2 linked regions of the Daphnia pulex genome follow. The protein of the gene in region 1 interacts with the protein of each later gene in a pairwise test. Links are inferred from orthologs where the notes say so. Each region holds a gene or a part of one and is shown on either strand. Other genes may lie near its edges.

Region 1 (4,486 bases):
GTCATGGATGATTCGACTATGGTCACACCTTCCCTGTAAAGATTTCGTTCGTTCCATAATTGAGTTTCAGAGCGCCGGGCGATGGCTTTGAGTTTCTGCAGTACAAATTAATGAAAAGTTAAGCAGATAGTATCGAGAACATTCAGAGCCAGTTCGCGTTTCCAAGCAAACAAGTCGTGTAGCATTTAAAAGATGCACGTTACCTGGTAATGCATATTCATCTCTTCGAAAATAGCTGATGGCCACGACACATTGCATGTTCGCTCGGTGAGTTTGCTCAAGCGGTTGACAGCATTCAAGAGGGCAAAGGCTCGGATTTCGACATCGCGTGGTTGAATGGGTGGGCACATGGAACGCAAGACGTCGTCAACTAATGGAAGGACAGATTTTGCAACCTAAAACACAACAGAACTTTCAGACACATAGTAATCTTTGGAGTGTCACAACTGAATTCCAACATAACAGAAATGCATGCAATTATTTTTCTTTTAGATAATGAGAGTTGTACCATTGCCAATTCAACAAATCTCTGTTGATCTGTAGAAGCCATAGCTGTAGTCACAAGCCTTTCACTCATCAAGTGACAGCCTTTTAAAATCTGAAGGCAATGAGGAACAATTCCAAGGGCATCGTCCACCCATTTCCATCTGTGAGATTCTAGAACTTTGTCCAAGTCAGGGTGAATCACTAAATCTTCAGGATCAATATTGTCCATGATGTAGTCTTCATCTTCCATCTCTAGGCTACTGATTAGATGAATATCAGACCTACTGGGAAATTCAAAAGCAAAATTACTCCCAACTGCGAAAGAAGTCTTTGTTCGTTTTTGAGATAGTTACCTCACATGGAATCCATTCTGCTGCACTTGTGGGCTTTGTTCCTTCTTCTTAAATTTAGAACCAAGATTAAAGCAACATAGTTTATATCTGCATATAAACAATAGCGCAAGGAGAGCAGCAATGAATACGGAAGTCAAAATCCCTCCAGTCACAACGACAACAGCGTGCATTGTTATGTGCTGAAAAAGAAAGCAATATAAGAAAATCTTTCGATCGTTTCAAGCGTCTGTCATATATTAGTTACCTTCGCAAAAACGACAAGTTTGGATGACACAGTGAACCTTTATAAGTACTCAATAACGAAAGTCCAAGTTAATAAACAACTAGTGCAAACATTTTTACGGCGGGATTAAAATTGTTATTATTTTATGGAAAAGAATGATGGTCAAGGCACTTGTTGATTTGTTATTTTCGGGGAACTTTTATAACGCCCTTGGCAGAATTTTAAAGCGCAATAGCATTTTCAAATGAATAAAAAATATTTAGTCGTGGGTTGAAAAATATTCTAAATTTACTAAATATTTTACTTGTTCATAGATATTCAATTAATTAAGTAATATAGATCCTTTTTAAGTTTAATAATAAATAAATCAACTGTTTAACTAACGGTGTATTACATGCATAATGTAGCAGACGACAAGTGGATTCTGAAAGCATGATTCTTTGGTCAACGGCGAGACTGAAACAAGGCGATTCACGTGCTTAATGTTTTCTGTGAATAATCGCAATAAGATTTTGTTGCAATTGATGATCAGAGAATATTTTTAAAATGAGTGAAAAAGAAAGTGAGAAGAATGGAAATGCCCAAGAGGTTCAACAGGTAGAGCATTGGCTGGCCAAACATTTTGAAATTTCATATCAGTCACAACTTGATTTTCTCTGTTTATTTAGAAATTATTTCAAAGTGCAATGAAGGTCACAAAGTACTCTAATGAATTACCAAGTAGTGGTTCAGACTGGGATTACTACCAAAGTTATCCAGCATATGCCAGCGCAATGAAAGAATTTGGTGGTCGCATTACTAACTTGTGAGTTACAGCTACCGTTAAGTATAAGAATTTTGTTTGATCCTAAAATTTTTATTTGTCAAGGATGACCACAATTTACGGACACTATGGACTAACAGGAAAGGTGGGAAAATTGGATTTGGAAGAGCAGATGGAGCTGGTGTCGGACAACAATGACATCTTGATGGAGCGAATAGTATGCTACTAGGAATTATTAGAATTTTACACCTGTTAAAAAAAACTGCTTTCGTTTCAGAATCTTTCTCTAGATGAAGCTGCTGGATTAAAAAAACAAGCAGAAACTGTAGTTGTTGAGATGATGGCAAAAACTACAAATATTAATGGCAGTTGGAATCGGCATTCTGTGGTATCTAGTTTTTCATACCAATTGTTGTCTTAGATGCTGAATCTATAAAGTATTCATCTTGTTTACAGAGTTCACCAGCAACCTCTTACAAACTTCTTTCTGCTAAAAACATTCTGAGACCACAGTTGAAATTCAAAGAGAAAATCAAGAATTCACCTGGACCGTTTATCCCCAAAATCAAAGATAAGCCTCATTCGTTGAAACCACTGGCGATACTATTAGAATTGAATGACTTGGGCGATGAAGAGTTTAGCCATCCGTACGAATTTGAATTGGAACGTTTTACACCGGATCCAAAGTTCTTCACCGTACTTGATGAAGTGCCTCCATTCCCAAGTGTTCAAGAAATCCCTTTGGTAATGATAGATACTGAAGAAGGTTTAAAAAGTCTTTTGAAAGTTTTGCTTGAGGAAACTGTGATTGCTGTAGATCTGGAGGTATTATTCACTGTCTAGCAGTTTTTAAATTGGTGAACCTTATTAAGTTCCTTAATTATTTATTGCCAGGCCCATTCATATAGATCCTTTCAAGGCCTAACATGCTTAATGCAAATTTCAACAAGCAGTTCTGACTACATTATAGACACTTTAGAGCTATGGGATCAACTACAGCCTTTAAATGAAGTTTTCTGCAACCCAAAGATTGTTAAGGTATGAGCTAACTGTTTAATTGAAGAAGTAACAAACTTATTTTGTTGGTTTTCGTTTAGATTTTTCATGGAGCTGATATGGATATTCAGTGGCTTCAGCGCGATTTCGGTATCTACGTCGTTAATCTTTTTGACACTTATCACGCTGCCAAATTATTGGGTTTTGCACAGCTGTCCTTGTCCTTCCTCCTTCGTCATTATTGCCAAGTTATTGCTGACAAACAATACCAGCTAGCCGATTGGCGAATTCGTCCCTTGCCTGAGCAAATGGTCAATTATGCTCGAGAAGATACCCACTACCTAGGATACATTTACGAAAAGATGAAAAAGGATTTGAAGATGAAGGGAACAGGAGATAATTTGCTGACAGCAGTTTGGCAAAACAGCCGACTGGTTTGTCTCAAACGTTACAGAATTCCCCCTATCACTGCCGAAAGTCACTTGGAATTGTATAGGCTCAGCAAGAAGATTTTCAACGAACGTCAGCTGTTTGCATTAAAAGAACTGTTTGCTTGGCGCGATCGAATAGCTCGAGAAGAAGACGAGAGCACTGGTTTTGTTCTACCCAAACACATGTTGTTACAAATCGCCGATGTTCTACCTAAGGAGATGCAAGGTATCCTTGCCTGTTGTTCACCTATCCCTTCGCTCGTTCGTCAGCATTTACTTCATCTCCATGGAATCATATTAAAAGCCAGAGAAATGCCTCTCGCCACTCTACAACATCACGGCCAGCCATTAGCCATCCCGAAAATGATGCCGACTCCATTGGATCAAGACACCGAAGACCCCCTTTATTGTATGCACGACTTGACACATTCTCAGGACATCCGAGACGACCTACCCACTCTGCTGAATCCGCAAACGATCGAATCAATGGCGTCAAGATCCGAGGAGTTTGGAGTCCGCGTCACTGTAAAAGAGTTCCCACAAGCTCTAATCTTCGCCGAATCGGCTCATTCTGGCATCGTGACAAATGTATCAACTAATTTTGTTTCTCCATACACGAGATATATTCGTGTCAGAGCTCTAAAGTCGGCCGAAGAAGCCGCAGAAGCACAACGTGTCGAAAAGTTGCGCCAACATTTCATGGAAGAAGTGGCGCATTCAACACCCGATGCCCAGCGTGAAGCGGAAGCGATGGAAGAAGAGGCGGAAGCAGTAGCAGTAGTTCCTGCGAAGAAAAAGAAGTTGGCGTTGAAAGCGCAGGGACTTAACAAGAAGAAGAAGAAAGTAGGGAGTACTAAACGAGTAACGGCTACTCCTGAAACATCTGTAATTCCATCAAACTCCAGCTCCCCATCGAAAAAGTCGGCGGATGCAGTAGTGCCGTCAGCATCCAAGAGCCCTAATCCAGCAACATCCAAGAGCCCCAATCCAGGAATGAAGAAAAAATCATTAAAACGACCGGCGAGCAAAGAAGCAGGAAATGACAGCGGGGCTAATTTCGAACCATTTGATTATTCCCAGGTTGATTATCACGCTTTTAAAAGGAGCGCACTGCGTGAAGATGGTGATGGACGCGGTCGGGGTCGAGGAAGAGGCCGTGGTGGCAAAAACCGAAGAGGTGGTCCCGGACATAGCAATAACAGAATCCACAGAAAGGGTGGCCAAAAGAGTCTTA
Region 2 (4,464 bases), on another chromosome or scaffold:
AAACCTTTTTTTCTCCACGCTGTCGTGAATTGTAGCGTCTGCGCAGAATGAACAACACTCTAGTAAAAAGGTCAGCAATGCTCAATTTCTTTCGGTCGAAATCCTACGACGGCTTCAGTTCGATAGTTGGCACTGAGTCAAAGCGTTCCCGACAACTCGGTCGATACAATTGAAGATCATATCGTCGTTCAGCCAGCGTTCGGTCGTGACGGTGGCTGGAAGGAGACTAGTGGGAGAGCCAGTAACTGCCCCTTGTGTAACTCTCACAAAAACGGGTGTGTGTGTATCAAAGAGAGAGAGAGCCACCTGAAAGAAAAAAATGAATCGATTGGTTGTCCACCTAGTGGAGGACTTGGGTAGTTGACAAAACCTGTTTTAATCAAATCTTTGGCTGTCCAAAATGATGATGATAAGAAAGGTGTAAATAAATCAAATCAAATCGAGTTTGAGCTTGATCATTTATGGGTCGAAATAAAGCTCAACCATGACTAAAGCAATCGACGAAAGCTTTTGCGTTTTTAACTCGACCTTGGCAGCTTCTACTAACTCACTTTCTATAAAGTAAAGACGTCTTTGGTTCGGTAGCTATGTGCTGATTTTCTCTTTTATGAATTTTTTTTCCTCGGACGGCGAAGGTGTTGTTACATGCAAACTTAAAAAGAGCTAACGTCCCCGTCATCAATAAAGGGTTTTCTCAAGAACGACCATGAGGACTTTCCTGAATAACAGACAAAGAATGTCCTTGGGGTTCGATATGACTGAACACAGCAGACCTCGCCTATTCCACCCGAGGACGTTTAAAATTACATTTCGAAACCCTCCACCGAAAAATTTCAATTTCTACTCCATATTAATTCGCTAAGAGTATATATTAATCGGCCGGCGTATGCGACGGGAAATTTTATTTTAAGGCTGTTGCGGTACGCGCCTCATATTCTGAACAATAGCACTACACGCGTGTACTGTCGCGGGATTGCGAGAGATTCCATCCCTTGGATTTATTTTAAGAATGAACAGGCCAAGTGGATACAGTTCACTTTGAACTGTGGAATGTCACCTTTCCTAAGGTACTAAAACGGTACGCACGATTGAAAAATCATAACATCTAATGTTACTGATGGCATCTGTAGACATTAGTCCACAAATTGTTTTTTATTTCACGACATTTTTCCCTGACACCATTTTCACTCAAGCATTCTTTATGCACAAATTGTTTTGTAAAAAAATAAATAAGTAAAATAACTCCTGACTTGAGCTAGTTAACAGTTTACTAAATGAGGTACATAAATGAGGTTTTTGGATTTGAAAGGCAACCTACTAATTGTGCGATATGAACCGTTGTTGTACTGATTTTCGGTATTTTCCAAACTTTTTTACCTTTTGGGTTTTACGATATCAAGTTATCTTGTTCCCACAGAATTTACCGATTTTTTGCCGTCAGACAGAACTATTTCTGTCTACAACCCCATTACCATATTGATGCCAAAAAAGTTCATTAAATTCTAAAGGTGACCGGTATTTCGAGAGTCGAACGTTTTTTTCTATATATTTAGGAAAAATATCCTTCAAGTGTTATCTGCTGATTTTCTGCCAATCGGTTTTATTTAATCTCGCAAACAGGAAACAGCAGCAAACAGGAAGCAACTAAGCAAGTAAGCAACACACACTTTTTAATTTCTGACAACGTTGCTTGGCCATGCTTTTAGATTTTACGTCGTCTGCTACCTACTATTATTGTTTGAACCTTTGAAATTCAATTTGGTAGTGATGTTTCGTTAACGATAACGGATAACGTGAAAAGTCCGTTAACGGACCTTTTTTGGGGTTCGTTAACTTAACGGATAACGCTAACGTTTGGCATTTTTCAGACGTTATTTTCAGACGTTATTTTTGTTTTTAACAGCGCTGCCAAATATGAAATTTTTGGATTTTTCAAAATGAAATTTGTATTTTTTGCGCGCTTCCAACATTTTACTGTAGTAGGTTGACTATGAAAACGAATTTAAATAGCCAATGACAGTGAGCAGTAGTCTTCTTAGCTTCTCTGAGGTTTTTTTTTGCTTTCAAAACGTGGCAAACGAAACTGTATAAGTAGAGTAGGGAAACAACTAGAATCAGAGTGTAAATCTTTAATGTCAGATTCAGACTCTGATGCTCCTGTTGACGGTGAATAAGCGTGGCATCTGCGATGTTAGAAGATCTCGAAAGAAGATTTAATTTCATGACAGATTAAAGAGATCCTGATTTCGACTGCTCCTACCTTCTAGCCACTTCCCTCGACTGCATTGAAACTGAACTTTTAGACAACTTCCACTTTGCAAGTCATGAATTTGATCCTTCTAAGGATCCACCAGTTCAAGATGTGATCTCTTACTGGAAGGATTTGTCTGGTCGTTTCCCCTAATTATCCAAAATGGCCTATAATTTACTGGTTATACCAGTTTCTTCGGCATCATCTGAACGCGAATTTTCCATTGCCGGATGGCACTGTCTAGGACACAAAAATAGGACGGCGGAAGAAGTTTTGGCCGCAAAAGTCTTCCTCACTTGCAATAAGGATTTATTGAGGCCTTTACTTTTTTAGTTGGAACTTGTTTTTTTTTCTTTTGTCTGTGCGTTTATTTAATCCGCAGTTTCTGTTTTTTTTAGTTGATCATTGCTTCATTGTGACATTGTTCAACGCCAGCAGCAATTTAAATATAAGTAATCAAGACCGTGACTGATTTCAGTGATTTGATAGTGCAATTTTTTTATTAAATAACGGTAAAAATAACGTCGAATTTTCGTTAACGGAGACATTTTTAACGGCGTTAATTAACGGCGTTAACGAACGTGAAAAAATTGGACATCGTTAACTTAACGGATAACGCTAACGTTTAGAAAAAGCACTAACGAAACATCACTACAATTTGGTAATGAATTATTTCACTTACGTCAGTGTAAACTCAGTACTCCAAAACTAATATATGTTCTGTTTAATTACAATTTAGTGTTTCCGATTACGCATCACGTCACTGTATGCGTTGATTCTATTTCCAATACAAATTTAAACATGGCAACTGACCACAAGTAAGTCATGTTTTATGAAGTTTTTTTGCGGGCACTTTGATATCAACCTCTTAATTCAGAACACTGCAACCATTGGAATTTTACAAGACTTTCCTTGATCGCAAGTCACGCCCAGACGGTCGGAAACTGCTGGAATTCAGAAAAATGACTCTAAATGCTGGTTCCATAGGAACAGCTGATGGCTCAGCTATTGTCAAATGTGGAAATACTACTGTCATTTGTGGCATCAAAGCTGTAAAACACTCATAACTATTTTTTTCAAAAACTATTATCAACAATAATCTATCAAATCCAGGAACTAGCTGCTCCAGAAAGAGAGGAGCCTTCTAAAGGCTTCATCATCCCAAATGTGACACTGCCATCCTTATGTTCTTCACAAATAAAATCTGGCCCTCCTGGAGAAACAGCTCAAGCTGCTACCCAGTTTATAGCTGAATTAGTCAATAACAATATTATTATGGACTTGGAAACATTGTGCATAAAGGTTTCAAAATGGGCTTGGGTTCTTCATTGTGATCTACTCTGCATTAACCTTGATGGGAGTTTACTAGATGCTTGTGTGATGGCATTAGTAGCTGCACTGAAAAATTGTAATTCTATTCTAAAGTTTTATGTTTTATTTTCTATAATCTAATTCATTCACTGATTCATTACAGTGAAACTTCCCATTGTGAGTTATGATGAGGAGATGGACAAACTAGTTTCCAACCCAAATGAAAAAATGAGTTTTGACACAATTAAGCAGCCAGTTACATCAACATTCTCCTTATTTGATAAGTATGTGCTTAAAAAAAAAACATGAAGAAACTTCTATGAAATCATGATTTCTCATTATTTTGAACAGTGGTATTTTGATCAGTGATCCTACATTTGAAGAGGAGCAGTTGGCTGCTGGATTAACATCTATTACCATGGAGGGTACTTCAGTTACACATATGTATAAGCCAGGTAAAAAAATTTCTATGATGTTCTTAAATTTGGACATAACCTTCCCTTGACTTTACAGGAGGATGTACTTTAGATGAGAAACAGGTGAAAAAACTTATTCAGCAATCAGAATTGAAAACAAAGGAGGTTGCAAGATTGATTGAAGAGGCTTGTTCATCATCTATTGCTGAACGATGAAATTGTTCGTCATTCCTTGTTTGGTATTGAAAATAATACAGTTTCAAATGTCAGTTTCAATTCAAAGTTTTCTCAATCTAAATTTTTTACTTCATGATTAAAAACATTCAACTACTTTCAATTTTACGTAACCGATGTATTTAACTCGCGTGAGCTATCATCACAGGAATGATTCATACAACATGTTAATAATAATCCTGGAGGCACTAGCCGAAACAAGTAATTAACAGTATTAAAAAAATCGATACCAAGTAGAATATATAAATAGCC

The links.
Region 2: the proteins of exosome component 10-like (region 1) and exosome complex component RRP43-like interact in binary tests that used the Homo sapiens proteins (3 or more experiments, as listed by UniProt). The link is inferred for Daphnia pulex from reciprocal best matches to the Homo sapiens genes EXOSC10 and EXOSC8.

What each region holds. Positions count from the first base shown.
Region 1 is NC_060022.1:1,682,127-1,686,612, reverse strand, and holds the start of exosome component 10-like, read left to right. Parts: upstream 1-1,425; 5' UTR 1,426-1,608; coding exon 1,609-1,659; intron 1,660-1,730; coding exon 1,731-1,867; intron 1,868-1,930; coding exon 1,931-2,042; intron 2,043-2,102; coding exon 2,103-2,213; intron 2,214-2,281; coding exon 2,282-2,650; intron 2,651-2,719; coding exon 2,720-2,863; intron 2,864-2,922; coding exon 2,923-4,486. Other genes in the region: transmembrane protein 98-like, read right to left, coding at 1-95, 204-395, 509-770, 840-1,009. UniProt on the Homo sapiens protein: Catalytic component of the RNA exosome complex which has 3'->5' exoribonuclease activity and participates in a multitude of cellular RNA processing and degradation events.
Region 2 is NC_060025.1:4,769,950-4,774,413, forward strand, and holds exosome complex component RRP43-like, read left to right. Parts: upstream 1-1,625; 5' UTR 1,626-1,761; intron 1,762-2,911; exon of another isoform or gene 2,912-2,990; 5' UTR 2,991-3,052; coding exon 3,053-3,069; intron 3,070-3,128; coding exon 3,129-3,303; intron 3,304-3,364; coding exon 3,365-3,659; intron 3,660-3,725; coding exon 3,726-3,846; intron 3,847-3,913; coding exon 3,914-4,017; intron 4,018-4,075; coding exon 4,076-4,194; 3' UTR 4,195-4,254; downstream 4,255-4,464. UniProt on the Homo sapiens protein: Non-catalytic component of the RNA exosome complex which has 3'->5' exoribonuclease activity and participates in a multitude of cellular RNA processing and degradation events.